Linked DNA regions of Drosophila melanogaster. The protein of the gene in region 1 interacts with the protein of each later gene in a pairwise test. Each region holds a gene or a part of one and is shown on either strand. Other genes may lie near its edges.

The links.
Region 2: the proteins of CG14074 (region 1) and CG3788 interact in a two-hybrid assay, tested with the Drosophila melanogaster proteins (one large-scale study listed by BioGRID).
Region 3: the proteins of CG14074 (region 1) and BomS4 interact in a two-hybrid assay, tested with the Drosophila melanogaster proteins (one large-scale study listed by BioGRID).

What each region holds. Positions count from the first base shown.
Region 1 is NT_037436.4:18,860,826-18,867,931, forward strand, and holds CG14074 (uncharacterized protein), read left to right. Parts: upstream 1-5,399; 5' UTR 5,400-5,436; intron 5,437-5,494; 5' UTR 5,495-5,513; coding exon 5,514-6,524; 3' UTR 6,525-6,606; downstream 6,607-7,106. Other genes in the region: CG6865 (uncharacterized protein), read left to right, coding at 2,896-2,962, 3,431-3,769, 4,083-4,378, 4,441-4,596; Dysb (dysbindin), read left to right, coding at 7,055-7,106.
Region 2 is NT_033778.4:22,929,087-22,936,851, reverse strand, and holds CG3788 (uncharacterized protein), read left to right. Parts: upstream 1-2,774; 5' UTR 2,775-3,251; intron 3,252-3,328; exon of another isoform or gene 3,329-3,343; 5' UTR 3,344-3,404; coding exon 3,405-3,468; intron 3,469-3,533; coding exon 3,534-3,733; intron 3,734-3,804; coding exon 3,805-4,488; intron 4,489-4,545; coding exon 4,546-4,734; 3' UTR 4,735-4,817; downstream 4,818-7,765. Other genes in the region: CNBP (CCHC-type zinc finger nucleic acid binding protein), read left to right, coding at 340-837; ReepA (receptor expression enhancing protein A), read right to left, coding at 5,573-6,463, 6,533-6,659, 6,779-7,053.
Region 3 is NT_033778.4:18,381,547-18,387,859, forward strand, and holds BomS4 (bomanin short 4), read left to right. Parts: upstream 1-3,020; 5' UTR 3,021-3,090; coding exon 3,091-3,148; intron 3,149-3,212; coding exon 3,213-3,292; 3' UTR 3,293-3,365; downstream 3,366-6,313. Other genes in the region: BomT1 (bomanin tailed 1), read right to left, coding at 1-88, 151-217; BomBc1 (bomanin bicipital 1), read right to left, coding at 1,240-1,535, 1,600-1,657; BomS1 (bomanin short 1), read left to right, coding at 2,477-2,534, 2,604-2,683; BomBc2 (bomanin bicipital 2), read right to left, coding at 3,506-3,912, 3,968-4,025; BomS2 (bomanin short 2), read left to right, coding at 5,127-5,184, 5,247-5,326.

The DNA of each region.
Region 1 (7,106 bases):
TTCCGGTGCGGCTCTCACACCGAGCAGACGTGTTGGCCTGCCTAGAATAAGAATAACATTCAAATGGTCAGTGCATTGTGATGCCCAAAATTGTGTTAAGCCATTGGCTAAGTTTGGCTGTTTTATATAAGAGTTCCTTCACGGACACTTATATAATTTTGATTGTTGCTCAGAAAGCCCTCATTGTTTACCAGTTGGCTTTCGAGCAATAATTGAAACCAGATAAGTGATCCCCTCAACGCTGACGATTTCAAAGCACTTCGTTTTGGTAAGTTAAGATTTATTTCATTAATTATGTTTAAAAAATATATAGAGATTTCAAATTTAATTACTTTAAATAAAAAGCATTGCTAATTATACATACGATTTTATAGATAAATTGAAATACTTATTATTAATATTTATATTTAAGTTCCAGCGATATAATTTTTTGAATTAAATAAATGTATACCTTTTTTCTGAATCTTTGTTAAGCAAGTTGAATCTTTGTAACAAAGACTTTTTTGTAGTGAAACTAGATAATTTGGTTAGCGAAAATAAAAGAACAAGTATAAATATTTATATATATACATAATTAATATGTAATATTTAGAAGCAATTTATATCCCATTAATTAAAGATATAAACTGATAAATTACTGAAATTGTGATCTATATGATTCTAGGCAGTTCAATTTCATAACTTAAGCATCCTTGTGTTTTATTTAGAAACCACTACTCACTCGAAATTCAATCGAAAACTATAAGCTATAATTATATATAGTTAAATTGCAATTTATACGATTGTAGATAGTTCCATTTTATAACGTAATGTTTTATTTAAAGCCTACTCACTACGAAAACTATAAACTATAATTACATACCTAGTTTAATTAAGTCACAATTAAGAAGATAATAAACAGTTAAATTTCATAACTGAAGCATCTATGCTAAATGTTTTTGTTTATAACCCACTACCACCCATTCGTGATTCCTATAAATACCTGCCAGTTAAATGGGTTCACTGCGCCCCAAAACATTTCCTATAGCGCCAAACACACCCGCATTAGCGACGTCCAAAGACTTCCCCCTTGCAATTAGTCACCTGAGAGCGGCGTCGTTGAACTTCGTCGAAATGAAAACAAAAGTGTAGCGAAATAGCTGAATAATATGACAATTGTCAAGCATAACTCAAGTACCTCAAATCGAAGCGACCTTCACATTGAATGCGCCCAAGTTTCGCCCAAAGGCGGGTGTCAATGCGCCTGAAACTTGTTTCAGTTGAGCTCCGCACTCGTGTTTGTTAATATTGTTTATATTTGGTTATTTGGTATCAACGCCAGTCAACGGCAGACAATGGATATATAGTGTTTTTTATGGGCGATTTGTTTAGTGAATTAGCATTTAGTGCGAAACAGAGCTGCCGCGATCAATGAACTCGATTGGGATGCTATCTGGTTTTCGGTTAAGGAACCAAAGTCATGAAATCAATTAGTAATTCTGGCATACTTGTCTGATCCACTGAACTGATTTGTGTGCTCCGACTGAGAATCGAGATTGTGGATAATGAATTATTAATGCCTTGGTCTGTAGATTTGTCATACTCCGTCTTAACTTTCAGTTTCAATTCCAATTCCTGCTTTGCCCACTTCAATACCCATCATTTTTGGCATGCTATTGCTTATAATACATATTATGTCATAGAAATGCACTTCCACCTGCATTTATCACTTTGATATGCGATGGATGGTGTATCAACCTTCCCATGTCGCCAATTGCATTGAGTGTGTGGGCCATGCGTTAGTTTTAAGGGCAATGTTAATGTCAAGCGGCTAATATTACATTGATTGCGCCGACATTGAATTTCAATTAATTTTTGGTCCCATCACAGTATTCATATGCAGCGCAGACATCCTAATTTGCATAACAGGCCCGATTACTAACTACCAGGTCTAAACTGATGGAAATATGACGTCTAAGGTTAGCTGCAATGTGCGAACTAATTGTGTCAAATGCAGGCAATGACATAACTGTAACGATTACGCAAATCCTAGAAACTTTTTTAACTTTCTTAAGATAGATTAGATAAATTAGATCTTGTAGGAACACAAAAATGCATTGTAAATCATAAGAACTGAAGAAATAAAAGATACTACATGCAAGCAAAAAGAAATTTAAAATCAAAAGAGTTGGTTTTGAATCATTTATAAAATTTTCTGTAGTTATGCAATAGCATTTCAGTTGATTAACAAGTCATAATAATATTTACACCCTTTTCTTTATTAACCATACAACAATTTCAATAACACCCTAAATACGTGCTAATCGCAATAATAATGTACTAAAATAAGGATAGAGGTGCAATAAACTCGTAGTGGTGGCATCGAAAATTCAGCATAAATATTGTCACACCTTTTGTCGCGCACTTTTCAATGTCATGAACTTCGCTGGGTCATAAAACGCAAAACACACAAAACTTTATTTCGGCCATTGTTTACTTTTGGGTTTGTTTTCGACTTTTCGGCAGCTCCTTAATTCACCCCCCCCCCCCTTGGAGCAATTGAAATGCCATAACGTGTGCACATGGCACCCATGCCCACAATACCAGCAAAAAAAAAAAAGGCGATGAGACAGGTAGTGCAGCGCAAAAAAAGCTCTCAGCTGAGGCAACAGGTGCCAAAGGCCCGGCTGCGACTTCCGTTTGTTATCAGGCCGAGAGAGCGAGCTTTCCGGCTAATCCGCATAGAACTCCGGACGACAGTGAAGTAAGTCAGTGGAACGGAGAGGCGCTGGACGCCCAGACACCTATATATAAATTAATTGCCGCACAGAATATTCGTGGCAGTTTCGTTTAAGCTTGAGCCGTGCTTAACGGGTTTTTTTTCGGGGCTAAGAACACTGGTTGTGCACACAGAAAATGTTGAAAATCGTATTCGTAGTCGCGGTTCTGTCGCTAGTGAAGTGTGCACAATCCCAAATTGCTTGTGAGTTGATTGAACAAATGTGACGAAAAGAGTAATAAGTCAAATATAATATGAAAAATAAAATAATTATAGTTCCTAAATTAGGATTCCTGGGAACTACCTTTTAACTTTTAACTTGTGTTTAATATTCCATTCATTTTTGCAGTCCTTAATATTTTAGGTTAGTTTATATCAATTAAGAAAGCATGATCTTTTAGCATTGTGGATTTATATGCTAAATTCACTGGATAAATCTAACATCTAATGTTCCAATTGCAACAGTTTATGCTTCCCTATTTGATAAGAACTCAACCTACAAATATTTCAAGATTCTATCAAAACTTGTATAATCATAAAACGTGCATAAGGAAAAGTTTACTAGATTATGAGAAATATAAATAAATGCGTTCTGCTTATATTAACTAATTATTTTCAACACTCCTTATCATGAACTCACGCAAATTGAAATTCCTCTGACTCCCATGACAGTTAGCAACCAGCCATGCTCGGTTCGAAATCCAAAAATCGTGGGAGGTAGTGAGGCGGAGCGCAACGAAATGCCCTACATGGTCAGTCTGATGCGTCGTGGTGGTCACTTTTGTGGCGGCACTATCATCTCGGAGCGATGGATCCTCACGGCGGGACATTGCATCTGCAATGGGCTGCAGCAGTTCATGAAACCAGCTCAAATCCAAGGAGTTGTGGGTTTGCATAGCATCAGGGAGTACCTCAACGGGATTGGCAACGGTCCGGATGCACTGAGGGTGGACTTCAAGAACATTGTGCCCCATCCGCAATACGACTGCAACGATGTGAAACACGATATAGGTATGTGTGTTTTTTAAGGGGTAATTGCAGGTTCAATTATTTTCCATATGTACAGAACTGAATCATAAATCAACAATATGACATTAACATGACATTATTTTTCAGTAAAATGAATAAAAAATTTTAATCTAGTAAAACACCATTAAAAATATGCGCTTAGGTTTTAAAAAAACAAACAGAAATACATAGGTAGGAAATAGTTTCAACAAAGGATATTAACATTAACCATAATGAATCAGAGACGAATCAAATAATACTTATTATTCTTAGTATTCCTTAAGCTATTGCAAATTGGTATTTTATTCTTTTACAGCCCTCCTGGAGCTGGTACAGCCAATCCGATTCTCTTCACACATCCAGCCCAGCTGCGTGGGATCCGAGGAGGGGCACCGAAGTCTGGAGCAGGAGTACGGAACAGTTTCCGGTTGGGGCTGGACGCACGAGAACCAAGCGGAAAACGATCGATCCGATGTACTGCGCAAGGCTACCGTTAAGATCTGGAACAACGAGGCGTGCGAGAGGTCCTACCGATCCTTGGGCAAGAGCAATACCATTGGAGAGACACAGTTGTGTGCCGGTTATGAAAACGGTCAAATCGACTCGTGTTGGGTGAGTATTCACTTGGCTGATACGGCACACATGTTATGCTCCGGGTTTACTTACCTTCACAGGCGGATTCTGGCGGTCCGCTGATGTCCAAGGAGCATCATCTGGTGGGCGTGGTGTCCACGGGGATCGGCTGTGCACGTCCAGGTTTGCCCGGAATCTACACGCGCGTCAGTAAATACGTGTCCTGGATGCAGAAAGTGATAGACGGCAGGAAATAGTTGGCCAGGAATCTGAAACATAAAGATTGTGATTCACCTGTGATATTAGTCGTACTCGATTATGTGATCTTCTTCAATAAACGTTACTTTAACCAACTAGAAATTCAATTTATTGCGGCCGGTCGTCATTTTTTAAACTTTAATCGATGATTGTGCCAATCGATATCGTTGGACTAATTTGTGGTATTTTGCAGAAAAGATTACTCTGACAATATTAATCGACAAGAATATCGCTAGTGTAGGAGGAACGGAGGAACGATGGAATTTTGAATAATTTATTCTTTCATTATTGAATTCAAAAAAATGCAATAACGTTTAAAAAAATATCTAACTACCTATGTACGACTTAAGTTCATAGGACTCAAGAAAGTATATGAAATATGCACTTGAAAACTTGGCTCCCCACGCTTACTGTCCCACCTGCTGCCCCGCCCGACCGACTGTCACCCGTGGCCCAACGAATGTCTTGACGTCTGCCCCGCCGTTTCCCTAAAGAAATGTCCTTAAAAGTGGTCACGCTCTACGAGTGGAGAAATTCCCGAAAATGTGGGAATAGTTAGTAAGATCTTTATTTTATTTTTTGCAATTCACCTCCAAATAACGAAAAGAAATAAATAAATAAAAAACGTCCCCATGTTTTGATTTCCACCGTTCCGTCATCGCCGCGAACTCATCGACGCTAATTTAACGCACATACAATAATCGCTTTATACTTAGTATTTTAAAAATACTTATAAGTAGCACTTACCGTCCGCGGTATTTTTTGTTTCGCAGCAATTGGTATTCAATTAAATGCCATAAACAAACACAAAAAATGGAAATGGACGCAGACCTAACAAAGTAAATATTTATATTACAATCCGATATATTTTTAATTAATTTGATGCTCTCACGTTAGTCAGGCGATTGCCGAGCTAATGCGCGAGATCGAAGGTGCAAATGCCAGTGTCAGCACCTCGAAACAAAGCGAACGCAAAGTGAATCCTCTGGGCAAACTAAACAAACGCTTCTTAGGCCGCACCATAAACACCGCGATTCGGCATAATGATAGAGAAAAGGAGCGCACACAGGCAAATTGCCGACAGAAGCTGCAGGATCTGGATGATGTGCACGAAAGGAGGAAGTCCAACTACTTTTACAGCCGCGATGCACCCAGAACTCAAAGTGTTGATAGAAGCAGAAGTTCCAGCAGAAGGCGCAGCAGGAGCCGCCACAAAAAGGCCAAGAAGCATCGCAGCCGAAGAAGAACTAGGAGCAGCAGAAGTTCAAGCCGCAGTCGAAGTCGCAGCAGTTCACATCGGCGAAAAAAGCGCAAAAAGAAGGTTAAAAAACACAAAAAATCACACAGAAGACGAAGAAGCAGCCAGAGCAGCAGCGGTTGCGATTGGGAATCCGCACCCAGCGAGTCGTTACGTATACCCCCGCCTTCAGATGTGTTCCTAAACCACTCCAAGCAAATGGCTCTTGCAGTGGCCATGGCCTATGGTCAATTACTAAACCCGAGCAGCCAAAAGAAAGCCAGCGAGTCTAAGGAACACTCCTCCTCTCCTATAAGCGATATATTCCGGGAACTTATGTCCGACGAAGAGGTGGACAAATCCGAGAAGCCCGAGGCCCTGTCCATTTCATCCAGCGACGAAGAGCCAAATGTTCTCACCATTAAAGTAAGCTCGAGCTCCGAGTCCAGCGGCAATAAATCAAGCTCGGACTCAGATTCAGAAGCAAAGAACAGCGTACGCAGCTGTATAACCCTAGAATCTGGTGATAATAGTGATATTGAGATAATTGAGTACCATGAAGAGCCCAAAAAAAAGGCATGTGAAACTGAACCTGCGTCTGAACCTGAATATCCGTCTCAATCGGATAGCACAAATCAACAAGTGGACGATAGCACAGCTGTCACTACAGTGGACCTGACCGAGGATTAATTAGGCTAAACTTTAGTTAGAGAATCGTTATGTAAGATCAGAATGAAATTTTAAAGGAAACAAACTGAAGTTGAACCAAACTAAGAATATTGTTTTTATATTATTATTACAGATATAAGCTCTGCCATAGATAGATTCATATTTGGTTGGTTTTTTTTTAAGTTATGTTTAATAGTAATATACTAAATATACCACCGAATGATACCCTGTTGTGTCTGTTTATAATATCAACTTTGGGTTCATTTTTTTATTTAAATTATAAAATAAAAATGCAAAATTTGAAATGTTAATAATACTTATTAGTTTTAGTAAGTAATAAAAACCACGTGCCAGAGCTCTTGCCATAGTTGATATGCCTCTCGTGTACGGCAACAAACTGTTGCTCTCTCTCTCTCTCTATGACCGATTTTCTCTCAGCACCTGCCCGAACAGCTGATTCTTTATTTACCACTCAATTTTCGATGGAAAACGCCAGCGCGAAGACAATTAGAAATCGCTAAGTTAAATAAATAGAGATCCGTTGTCGCAAGATGTTCGGGAACCTGAAAAAGAAGCTTAGCAGTGCGATCCAGGAGGGCCTGG
Region 2 (7,765 bases), on another chromosome or scaffold:
ACCATCGCATATCCTCGAACCAATGTGCACCGCGTGGAGGGTCAGTGTTGTATTCAAGCGTAGCCGAAGCAACTCTGGCGAGTAGTCGATACCACAGCAAATCGGTACTCATTCGCTCAGCGGCAGCCATTTTAACTTTTGGCGTCGAAAATACGGCGAGGAAATCTGAGGAAGCCGGAGATCCTGTTGGTCTGTGTGATTTTTTCGCATCCAGCGCAAGCAGTGTGTAGTGCTCGAGGGCCCGTGGTTACCAGTGAGTGTGTGAGGAAGTTGAGAAGTTGAGTTTAAGAAGCGGAGTCGGATTTGCGGATCAGTAGTCTAACCAAAACCGAAGCAAAGATGTCGATGTCTGCCACGTGCTACAAGTGCAACCGGCCGGGCCACTTTGCCCGGGACTGCAGTCTCGGCGGCGGCGGAGGTCCGGGCGGCGTTGGAGGAGGCGGTGGTGGCGGCGGCGGCGGTATGCGCGGCAACGATGGCGGCGGCATGCGTCGCAACCGCGAGAAGTGCTACAAATGCAACCAATTTGGGCACTTCGCACGTGCCTGCCCTGAGGAGGCCGAGCGCTGCTACCGCTGCAACGGCATCGGGCACATCTCGAAGGACTGCACCCAGGCGGACAACCCGACCTGCTACCGTTGCAACAAGACCGGACACTGGGTGCGCAACTGCCCAGAGGCCGTCAACGAACGTGGACCGACCAATGTGTCGTGCTACAAGTGCAACCGCACCGGACACATCTCCAAGAACTGCCCGGAGACCTCGAAGACTTGCTACGGCTGCGGCAAGAGCGGACATCTGAGGCGCGAGTGCGACGAGAAGGGCGGACGGAACTAGGCGCCACCACCCACCCGTGGCACCTCATAAATGTAATCATCGAAGGAGGAATATGAGTAATAATTCAACACACGAAGAACAACCAGAAGAAAAGATGAGAACGAAAAAAAATGAAAAAAAAACGAAAAATCAATTTGCTACAACATTCACAAAGCCAGCCAACAGCAACAACATCTAGAAGCGATAGCAGCAGCACCCAAGTCAAGATCAACCCCTTCAAAATAAAGAACCCACAACCACATCCACATCCCTCCATTAACACATGCAGCATATGAATCCATAATCCTGAACATCATCCAGTAACCATCGCTGATTCCAAAAGCCGAGCCTGCAGCGCGGTGCCAACGTCCCGAGAACTGAAAGAAGACAAGAAGTATTGGCTTTCCGAGGGAAAGCCGCCAGAAAAGGAATCACGGAGGAGGAAGAGGGCAAAGGCTCCTCGAGCGGGGGTCGGAGGAGCAGAACCAGAAGACGATAGCCAACGGCAGCTGTGCAGCCGAGAGAGCAGATGACACCGACGACGAGGAAGAGGATGAGGTAGAAGATGAGGAAGAAGACACGACGACCCAATTTGTAAGATGAGACTAAACCACAACAGCAACAACAAAAGAAATCACCAAGCAAACCACTCTACTATAATTATACCTATATGATTATATGATTATGCTGCAAGTGTTTGAATTTACTAATTACATTATAACGAATGGAATGAAACTATATAAGATTATATAAAGAAAAATACCTTAAAGAATACTATTTAAAGCAAATGATCCTATTAGGAGTTCCACAGCCAGAAACAACCGAAAGAAAAACGTAAATAAAAATTATAAAAACCAATGAAAAAGCGAAGAATCAGGCGGCTAGAAGATCAGGCCACGTTACCACTCGACTCCACTCAACTCCACTCCATCCAGCTGCTGCCGGCGAGCCTTGGGAATTATCCAGGATCTAAGACTGTAAGACAGGATCTGTAGACAGTAACCAGTATCCCACCCCTATACCATTAACTCCATCCACATCCATACCATACCACACACCCATCAGCCAAGACGCCTGGCAAGATCTCTCAAGCGGGGTAGCATGCTATGTAGCTCATAGCTGTGGAGCCAAAGGGGGCAGCAAACAAGAACAGAGAAGCAGACAAATAACAAGAAGAGAACATCAACAATGGTAGACATACACGACGACTTTGAAAACGGAACGCAACGCTGGAGAGGATGAGCTAAGCGGTTAAAGAAGCAGACAAGCAAGCGGCACTCAGAACACTCAGTGGGCAGATGAAGAAGACAACGGCACACACACACCTTCAGTTCAGTTCAGTTGGACGGACGGGACACAAAAGATGCGAGACCGAAACCTACGTACGATGAAGGAAATGAAAATTCAAATATCACTGTGATTGTTTTTTAATTGTAAATTAAAATGCTGGAGCTGCTGATTTGAGACAAAAAAAAAAATAATCCCGCACCATGTGTTATGTCTTTGGGGTAATTCTTGCAGCGTCTTCCAGGGTAACATCTTTCATTAGGCCCCCTGCCAATTTGAGGCATCTCCGCCCCTGAGCGGGAGAGAGCGATCGCCCGCTTTCGCACTCTCTCCATCTCGCTCGCGCAACCAGTTTACCGGCGATTTTCACAACTGCAGCTGCGGGAACACATGGCGCAGGCAGCTGATGGCGATGGCTGGATGGAATATGGGGCTGGGGGCTCTCTTTTCGCTATGTGCTCACGCCGCTTTCTTTGCTCTCCTGCCCTGTTCTTTTCTGTGTGCAGTTCGCGTACCAGCACACACAACACACACACACATGCATGCGTACATACGCGCGCGCTAAGTGAATGCATACATACGTATGTATGGACGTACAGCGTGCTGCGAGGTACAGTCGCCGCTAATGGTGAAAACTGGCTGTGCGAAAAAGCAGGCAGAGAGCAAGAGGAAGAGAGAGCGGTCCCGGGGTGGGGTGGCAACTTCAACTTTGCCGGCTGCACTTGGCAACAAGTCTGCAAGCGACTGCGACTCCAATTGAGGGTCAAGGTCAGCGCTCGCGCATCAGCTGCTGCGCATGTGTGACGACCACGACGGCGGCCGTGACGCGACGGTGGCTTCGCGAAAGCTGCGCTCCGAGTTTCTGGAGCCGCATGCGGATGGGCAAGAAGCAGAGAGCGGTTGGCAAGCCGGTTTGGTCACTTTTTGCGCTTCTCCATACTTAAGTGCGGTGCGATCGCGGGTCGTCCAAGTAATCGCCGCATTTAGTTAGGCCTACGAGGGGCGCTATTAAAGTACTGCGCAGCTTACACTCATCTGCAAATGTTTGGTGACCATATGTACGGGTGAAGATACAAATGTAACTCAAATTTAGGCATACTAAATGATTTTGGAAACTTATGTCCTTTAAGTCCACTTTTGTAATAAAGGTAACAATGAAAATACCTTATATTACGAATTATAGTAGTCGCAATGTCTGACAACTTTCTATATTTCAATTATAAATTCAAACTTTAAATAGACACTCATTCCGGAAGTAAGACAAAATTGCTGGAAGTAACTTAAAAATTAAAAAAACAAAAATGTCCAAAAGCAACTGCAGTGACTGCACATGCCGTTTGGCCAACGAGGTGGGCCAGCTAAAGGGTGACTACTTTCAGTTTAGACAGGAGTTTCCTGAGATCCCTCATAACACAGACCGCATCCCATAGCCATCGTGAATGCCCAGAGCAGGACGCTCGCCAAGCTGGTCCGTCAGATGAAGGAAGGCTGCAAAAAGGACGAGGAGGCCAAGGAATCCACATTGTGCGGCCTGAATCCCTGCCTGAAGTGCCTGCAGCCTGACATACTCTACCACCTGGGCCTGAATACGGAGACCACGGACTTTCCCAAGGTTTTTGGTGATGTGAGGGTTAGTCTCAACCATTATACTCAAGTATCTAGTAACTATAAGTATGCTAAGCGTATCTTCTTTGCACAAAGTTTGTATGCATGGGAGGTACTCCGGGTCGGATGGAAAACTTTGCCTACTACGTGATGCAGGAGATCGGTCTGAAGATAAACGCGGCTACCAAGCTACGGAACATATCGGAGGCCGGCCAGCGATTCTCCTTGTTCAAGGTGGGTCCCGTGCTCTGCGCCAGCCACGGAATGGGTTGTCCGTCGATCTCCATACTGCTGCACGAACTCATCAAGATGATGTACCACGCCAAGTGCAAGGACCCCGTCTTCATCAGAATTGGCACCAGCGGCGGCATTGGCGTTGAACCCGGCACCGTGATCATTTCCTCCGAGGCGATTGATGGTCGCTTGAATCCCGTCCACGAGATCCTTGTGCACGGCGTCAGTGTCCAGCATGCCAGCCAGCTCGATGAGAGTCTGGCCGATGAAATCAAGATGTGCCACGATCCCTGCAAGGACAAATATGAAGCTGTCATCGGCCGGACTCTGTGTGCCCATGACTTCTACGAAGGCCAGTCGCGCCTCGATGGAGCCTTCTGCGAGTACACGCCCGAAATGAAGAAATCCTACTTGGAGACGCTGCAGAGCCAGCAGGTGAAGAATATCGAGATGGAGAGCTTGGCCTTTGCCGCCCTCACCAGTAGGGCCAACATCAGGGGCGCGGTCGTCTGTGTGGCCATCCTGAATCGCCTAAATGGGGATCAAGTGAGTTCATTACAGTCCATTATTATAATGTTATCTACCAACTAAAATCATACTAAGATCAAAACGCCACATGATGTTTTGTCCAAATGGGAGAAGAGACCACAGGAGCTGGTGGCCCGCTATATACGCAAGGTTCTTTACCATAACGACGATGACGATGAGTCGGAGCAACCGGAGGACGAGGCCGAGGCAGGAGCAGCTGGGGGCGGGGACACCCAAAAGGCGCCTGTAGAAGAAGCCGAGTAAGAAGTCCTTCGTATCTAAGTAAACGGTTCTGAATTGCTAGTTCAAAGATCATTAAAGACATCTCTGGTTGTTCAGTTCAATGGATCAATGGTATAGATTCTTTTATTTAATGTTCAATTACAATATTAGGAATTTATGCTACACAATTGATAGGTTTCTTCGGGTTTCATTTTTGGTTAGTACATCTGTTGCAGAACCTTTGGATAGAGGCTAGGAGACTCGCTTAACGCTAAACTAGTCACGAAATGAGTACCAGTGGCAACCAGGACGAACTGCGCCCGGAGCTCTAATAGAATCACAAACAAAGTACACAGTGCATGCGCATATATAGCTAATATTATCATAATCTGTATCGATATCCGTATAAAGTTACAATTTAAACTAAAACATGAGGTTCTGGTTCTATGGATTCCACTGTCTGCCCACCGTCACCATCTAAATCAACATACTGACAAAGATGGGCAGCCTTAAACCGATGCTCCACTACTTCTCCGACTTGTTGCGCGTTTTCATCTGGCCAGTGGCAGTTCCACCCTGGGATCTCTCCGATTTCCGGCTGCTCGAGCGGGGCAAGGTGGTGCAGCTAGCAGACATGGATTTGTCCTGCAATAAGTCAAGAAAGTAGATGAAGGATGAGAGTATGTACTTCAATTGGAGCCTCTAAAACAACATGCTGCAAATCCTTAAATCTGGGGGTTAGTAACGCAACTGTACAGAAAGATAATGCCATATTGGGGGCCATGGAAGTTAAAGGCGGAGCAGAAATCGCCCGGCGGTGAGCGAAACATAACACGGGGATGATGAGAGCTTCGAAAACGGGCTTGCGGCTGGGCTTACTTCAAATCTGTGTCTCTTTGGCCGCCAGCTGCTCATCCTCGGGCTGCTGCTGGCTGGGATTAGCTTTGTTACGCAGCACATTAGCTTTGATATTCTTGAACAGTTGTCCGATACCTGACTTGCGTTCCACGCTGCCCGTCGATGTCTGGCTGATGGCGTCCGGTTGGGGACTCAATGAGTGCTTCTTGGGTGGCAAGGGCGGTGGTGGAGCTCGTCCCTTGCCATGGTTGGCCTTGGGCCGCAAGGAGGGTGATGGTGAGGCTGATACGGAGGGCTCTGCTTCCAGTTGGGCACGGAAACTGTGCTTAATCTCCTCCAGAGTCTCGCGCATTTCACGCGGCGACATTGGACGCGGCCGTTCGGGCATAAAGGGATCCGGAGCAGATGCAGAAGCGCTTAGAACCAGCAAAAATGGGTCTATCGGTGGATGGACATAGGGCTTGTTTTGGGAAGGTGTTCCTGAATCAGTAGTTTCAGCAGATCCATTCGGAGTCTGGTTTTGACTTCTATCCGTTAGTATCTCCTCAATATTTTTAGCATCCACTTCATCTGAGACACATTTCTGTGGTTCCTCAAACAATGCATCTTCAAACTGCTCCTCTTCTATCGAATTATGCTTCCGCTCTTGGGGCAACAACTTTTCATCCCTTCCATAGTTAGCCACCACTTCATTTATGTGCTCCTCTATCAAAGGCAAGGTTTCAAAAAAGGCCTCATCTTCTGCATCAATGTTCTCCTCCTTCAGCACCTTTTCCAACTCCTGAGATTGGATGCTTTCAGAACTCTCCACTATTTTCAGTTCTTCAGCTTCTGGAACTGAGCTCTTCCTTTGCACACCTTGAAAATACAGCTGGTTGTCTAAGTAGACCTCGTCTCTCATCTCTTCCAGCAACTGCTAACCAACACCAATCTCTAAACGGATTAAGATAGTTCCAAAAAGAAAGACTGAAATGATTCCTACCTCATTGCGTTTGGACTTGGCTCGAGCCTTGGAAGCGTTTGTCATGGAGGAGGTGCGACTGAGACCACTCACAGGTTCGGCGCTCGAGTAGCCAGAGCTGATGTCATCCTGGCTGCGAATGTTGTAGCTGAAATAGATACGAAATAATTTGATTATCGAATTTGGCAAATGAAATAACTTGAAATCGAAAAAGGGGATTACCCAAGTATTGAGTTTCTTGTGGTACTGAACTGAACAATGACTCACTTGAAATCGCCGGCATTCTTGGCGGTCACATCCACCTCCGTAAAATACATGCCCGTGGAGTGGCGTGTTCCGCTGCCGGATCTGCCCACGGGCGTCTGATTTCTTGGCCTCAGTAGACGTGCGCCAGTGGCTGTGGAACGCATGACCACCGCCGACGATGTCATCGAGGACATCATCACGTCGTCCAGCTCGTCCTGCGTGCGATGCATATCCGGTTCGCTAAGATCGCTGAGGCTGTAGCTCCGCTTGATCGTCTGCACCAGATTGCCGCCTCCCTTCAGGGGAGCAATGTTGTTAAGTGGTTGATCGTGGATGATGGAGTAGAGCACAAGAGCACAAGAGTTGGCATTTAAATAATTTAATATTAACTACAACTAATCGGAAACTTAGGTGTAAACGTAGTTAAAATACATTATTGAAACAAAAATATAACTGCTAGTGGGCGACAGTGTTAATGTGATGAAGTGTAAGTGTTTCGCTGAGTGTGTAAAATCCGATTGTTCGCTGAGTATCTGTATGCTTGATGGTAGCCATCTTCAGTAGTTTTCCACATCCACATCGGGCGTGGGTTCGCGCAGCTTGCGGCGGGAGCGGATCACATTGCTGGAGCTGCTGGAGCTCCTGGCGCCCTCAATATCGTTGTGTTTCTGGCCGCGTTTGCCTGCAGCCTTGGCAGTGCTAGCAGCCCGACGTGGTTGTGCCTTCCGGACGGGCATGTCCCGGAGACGGGCTGCTCCGGCATCGCCCAGGGGATCATCATCGAACTCCGCCTCCTCGCTAACCTCTCGAATAACCAGTCGCTTGGTCTCGGTCCTCGGCTCGTAGATCGTCTCTGTGTAGCTCTCGATGCTGCTCAAGGAACTGGCTCGCGGCAGCCAGTTTTCCGTGCTGTCCATCGTATCCTGGCCCCTGTACAGCTCATCGGCCGAATGGGAGTTTTGCAGGCCGCGTCCATGGCCAGATGGCGCCGTAGTCAGCGCGTAGGTC
Region 3 (6,313 bases), on another chromosome or scaffold:
GAGTTTTTGGTGGCGCGTGCCGTGCAGTCATTGCAATTGCCATGAACTATAATGTCGCCATTGCGAATGGTAATCCTGGGAATTGTTCCTGAAATAAGTAACATATTTTTATAGATATTCATTGGAATAATTTTTATAGATAGAACTTACGAGCATATCCAAATTCGACGAAGAAAATGAGCGCCAGTAGCGCAAACAAAATCGAAAACCACTTCATCGCTGCGACAATTGAGACGAGTCAATAACTGCGATCGCTCAATTCCAGTGCGATTTATACGGCTGCATCTTTTCATCTCGACGGTGAATAACACGGGAGTAACAGAAAATACCCTAGAATATTTTATAGATCTTTGGGTTTTCCAAAAGCCCCATCGCTCTTGATAACGTATACCACTCAACTGAACGTTTGACTCAGAGGCAGTGCATCTCAAAAGCATCTCAAAAGCTTCAACTAAATCAGCTTATTATTTAAGTAGTATTCTAAGTTATAGTTGTGATAAGAGTAATATGACGTAGGGGGAATATTTCAGATATGCAATGCATATTATTTTCGAGTTGTGTAATAATCATAAGTAATATGAAGCTCTATTACTTGAAAAACTATACTAAGTATCTGTTAAAGTTAATTTTCGAACTACTTTATTTAAAACACACATTTGAAGTTCTTAATATTTTTGTAGAATTTCATTTAAATTGAAAAATGAATATTGTCGTAAAAAGTATTTTCAGTGCATGTATGTATTCAATTATGGTCGAATACCGCAAATATTAATAAAATTCTATGGAAGTAAAGTATGTAAACTTGTATATTGCGCAAACAAAACTTTTTTTTTCCGACCAATAAACAATGCTTTGATAAAAAGAAATGAAAAGGAAAAATTAAAATTTTAAATTGGTAATAAAATGCCATCATATGTTTAATAAGCGTATTAAACGAGGGTCTTTTTGATTTTCTAATTGATTTATAACTTTTTTATTAGCTTTGATTACTTAATAGCTCTTATATAATTTTACTTTTTAATTAAAAATGTTTGTCTCTACGAAACTCAAAAAACAGTTGGAAAATTAATTTTATCAAAATTTATAAAGGACATTTATAAAGGTCTGAACCAATAAGATTCTATAAAATATGACATAAAGTAACTATACCAAATTTTCAGATTTTTTAAAGAATTATAAATTATGCCCGAAAATTAAAAAATGCGAGGTATTTTATGTACAAATCACAATATAATTTCGTTAATCCCCGCCCCCGCTGATGCTGCAGCCCACGCAATCCTTATTGTGAAGGTAAGTGCCACCTGGCAGACGACCACTGTAACCATCCGGATACTGGGCGCCACCGCCTCCTCCGCCGCCAGCGCCAGTTCGCCGAATGGGACCATCGAGAGCTCCTAGATATGCGCCAGGGGAATTGATATACACCGTTCCCTGGCCCGGCCTACCCGTCCTGTAGGATTGGCCACCGACTACGACGTTTTCCGCCACCGGCGGACTGCAATCCTGGCATACTCCGCCGATAATCACATTTCCGGCTGCGGAATAATAAAATAATAAGCGAAATTGTGACATTGAAAGGCGCGCCCATCTGATTCTTACCCGTAGCCTGGGAAGCCAGGACAACGAAAATTGCAAAGGACAGAATCAGGCACTTCATTCTCAATCTGCGTGCAAGACGAATCTATTCGAGACACATGGAATCTGTGAGCTTTTAAGCATTCCCATTCGCTTTGTTATGAAAACCAGATTGCAGTGGAGGCACAACCAAGGGTGGATAGGTGCGGGATTCGCCCCCAGAAACCAGTTCAATTTACAGATAACTCTTGACAGGGGTTTTCCACAAGCTTCTTACTTTGCTTATTGCTAGCTAGAAATCGAATGAAAGCTTATTTGTAAAATATAGAATTTTTAGATTGTTTTGATTTTTACATTCTAGCTCATGTTTATCATGTTTGTGATAAAATATACAGATTTTTATGCCATCAATAATTTAATGTCTTCGGTTATCATTAAATTTGCTTTTCTTGACAATTATATATAAATATAAGAATACCCATTGTCTCATTTCATCTGCATAATTTGTTCGACAACTTTTACAACTTTTACTTAATTATATTTATATATTTATATAAAACTTAAAACAAGCTATTTCTTAAAAAATGCTTCTTACCAATGATTCTACCGATTTACCTGAAATTAATAATTAATAATTAAAATAATAATTTATATAAAATTCTTATAAAAAAAAAGTCTGAAATATGCGTACTTTTACCTTCTTTGAAGACTTCATCTTAAGTCTACCGATTAAATGCTTGTGTTTTCCCAAATACACGGCTTATCACCAATTCGCGTGGCTCTCTAATCCGACGCTCGACTATATAAGATCGGCTCCAACTAGCCGAGATCATCAGTTCAATCCAATCAATTGCCCAGTGCACTCAGTATCCAAAACCGGAGAAATCCATCCAGAATCAATATGAAATTCTTCTCAGTCGTCACCGTTTTTGTGCTCGGTCTGCTGGCTGTGGCCAATGGTGAGTAAAACTAATTGAAATTGCCTATTTGATGATTTAACTAATTTTATTATTATTATTATTTTCCAGCTGTTCCACTGTCGCCCGATCCAGGAAATGTGATCATCAATGGCGATTGCAGGGTGTGCAATGTCCACGGTGGCAAGTAGGAAGTTTCAACCCAAGGATTCGAAAAAGGACATAGTCTACAAACTAGAACACAAAAGCTGTTACCATTTTTTACTGGAATAATACATAGAATTAAAAATGCAAATCAAAGAAATACATACAAATAGAGGATTCTATTTCCTTTCTAACTAAACAAAAGATGTTTTTTATTTTTAGTATTTTCGAATTAATCAAAACAAAAAGTGTAAATCTATATTTCCCACGAAAAAAATATTTTGTCAGCAGCTATCAATCAATCGCTCTCATCTCATATGGCACTTGATTCACTCCTAGATCCGACTATCTGCTATATAAGATCGGTTTCCCTTAATCGAGAGCATCAGTTGTAGTTGATCGTTTGTCCGGTGTGTTCAGCTTATAAAACCGGATCTATTAATTGAAAATCAATATGCGATTCTTTGCAATCGTCACTGTCTTTGTGCTTGGTCTTCTGGCTTTGGCCAATGGTGTGTAGAACCTACAAAGATTAATTAGTTGATTACTTAAGTAAATAATCATCTTATTCAACAGCTATTCCGTTGTCACCCGATCCAGGAAATGTTATCATCAATGGCGACTGTGTGAATTGCAATGTTCGTGGTGGCAAATAGAAATTTTTAATCAAAACTTATATTTAGCATCATAATAAAAATGTAATAAAATGAAAGCTATATTGTAAATTGTATTTAAATCGCAATCATTTATAGAGACTATAAGAAAAAATTCGAATATTGGTTTACAGATGATTCCTCCACCACATAAGTTTAAACAATCTTCGTTTTAAAAAAAAGATAATTTCTTAGTGTTTCAATAATTTATTGACTTTATCCGCGAATATTGCAACCGACGCAATCACTATTGCGCACCAGTGTTCCGCCGGGATAGCCACTGGAATCGATGGTGGTTATGCCAGATCCTGCCCATCCTCCGCCTCCACCCCTTCCGCCAGATCCGCCCAAATCGATGTACTGACCACCGCGTGACTGACGCTTCGAACGCCTGCCAATGTATTGAGTTCCTCCAGCCGATTGATGCAGTGCCCAGTCACCGGTCAGGTCATCATCATCATCGTCATCCCATGATGGGCGACCGCGGGCTGGAGATGATCTCGAGCTTGGCCGGGCTGTCGTCCTACCTCCACTTCCTTTTCCACTTGTTGGCTTGTGCGTGGTGGTAGTCGTTTGATCATGGGAGCAGTTTACGCACTTGCCGTTGATGGTCACCTTGCCACCTAGGTAGAAGAACGGTTAATATTCAAGTTAAAACCTTTTGGCCTTCAAACCGACCGTGGACAAAGGCCAACGTGGCCAAGATCAAAAGCGCCAATAACGTCAGGCTCTTCATTATGATTCCCTCTAAGCCGATTGATCGGCGTCGCCTTCTTTTTATAGCCGTGCCGATTAGCTGAGATTTATAATCTGTATAATCTATATATATAATGTATACAAATTTAAAACCGATCTGGCTGGAATTGAGTACACCTTTGTTTTAAAACAAAGCTGAACTATTGACTGTTGCCTGTGTAGGAGATTAAAGGAAATGAGTGCTTTTCAAAATATAATAAATTATCATCTTTTTTTTAAAATCAATACAATTTACAAAGCGGCTGATGCAATTTTATTTCAGCTATTTATTATAGATTAACCATATTCTAACATGATTTAGTTAATTATTCCCTGAGTTCTAACTTTTTTTTAAATATTATATTGACTGCGTATAAAATTTCATTTAATGGTTACAAGAAGAATATAACGCTTTCTTTGTAGTAATTGTTAAAAAGATTACTACAGAATATTATTATTTAAAAACATACTCAATAGTAAGTTTAATGAACTCGTTTTTGAATGCAAGTGTATACGTGTTAATTTAATTTGTAGCACGTGCAGACTTTGTATTCAAAATGTTATAAGCCGGTTTCAATTTCACTGAGCACAACACATTTCTATATTGAAATATATGCAAAACTTTGCAGGTGCATGTGCTTCAAATCGAGGTAAAAAACAACAACAAACTTTGTTTGTAAACAAAACAAAAAACAAATTATTCAGTTCTTATAAAGAAAGACAAATGATTGAAAGCTATATTGAACTGCAACTATTTTGAATACTTCTAAGAACTCCAATGGTTTTCTCTCGAACATTAAAGCAATCTTAGCTTCTACCTGTTGGTTCACATAACACGCCCATAAACACGGGACTGGAATTTCCAGATTTAAATACGCAAAACAAATGCTATTGAACGCTCAACTTTCTGTGTTTTCCCAAGCGCTTTCGATTCGATGGGGGTTATCAGTGGCCTCCGTCCAACCAATGCACATTTGCTGCTCCAAGATTCCAGGCTGAGCTATATAAGATCCAATCGAACTAGCCAAGAGCATCAGTTGAATTCAATCGATTGCTTGTGCATTTAGCAAATCAAAGCCACAACAACCAAACCAGAATCAATATGAAGTTCTTCTCAGTCGTCACCGTCTTTGTGTTCGGTCTGCTGGCTCTGGCCAACGGTTAGTAATACTATATTTTATAGCTATTTGATTACTTTATAAATTATTTATTTCTTCCGCAGCTGTTCCCCTGTCGCCCGATCCAGGAAATGTGGTAATCAACGGGGACTGCAAATACTGCAATGTGCACGGTGGAAAGTAGGAAAGTAGGAAAGTAGGAAAGTACTCGCCTTAATTTCGAAGATGGGCCAAAACTTACCTCAAATCCAAAGCACCATATTTATACTCTCACTCTTGTACTAAAATGAAAACTAGTAGTAAAAAATACATCGCCAATTACAAATAAAATGGTGAAAAAACAAAACTATTTTCGTATTTTTAATACCTTGCAGCTAATATAAACAAGTAGCTAAACAAGAAATGTTCACTAAAGCATTTGATTAACACAATTTCAATGCAAATTAAAGCCAAATATATACAAATATGTATATATACATATTAAATATGATCTTTAAATACTTGCTATTGAAAAAACTTTCTAAAGGCTCCAAAAGGCACGCCTCTTATGATGGACATTACTCATACGCACTGTTGCACGCATATTAACCTTTTCTTAATTTATTTGTATATACTATACTCTAAATTCCTATAGCCTTAAATGACGAAAAATAATGTTATAATTTTATTTTTGATGAAAACTATATAATTATTTCAGAATATAGATAAGAAAACTTGTTATTTAATAAAAATAAATGAAACTGTATTTAAAATTCGAAAAAATTACCATTAGGTGTCATTCTAATTTTAAATAATTTTGGTATTTAGTAATTGAAAGAAGTAAGAATTTAATTATAGAAATAATTGTTTTTCAAAATACTTAAATAAAGTTGAGCTTTATGCCTGAATTTCATTTTAAATTATTTACATAGCCATATTGACTTTCTTACAAAAAAAAACTATGACTCCCTGCCAATCCAAAACCATAATCTTTCCAAGTACCTTGGCTAACCTTTTTTGCATAAAACTTGCTAATAAACTGTGTGCTAATATGACAGTTTATTGATTCGGCGGAATTGAACGCATTAAAACGGGTTCGCAATACTGGGAAAAACGAATCGCATGGGGCGCCGCCAAGTCAAATGGAATCAGGTTTGCAATCTGGCCACCTTGCACGTGAATAGAATCGCGT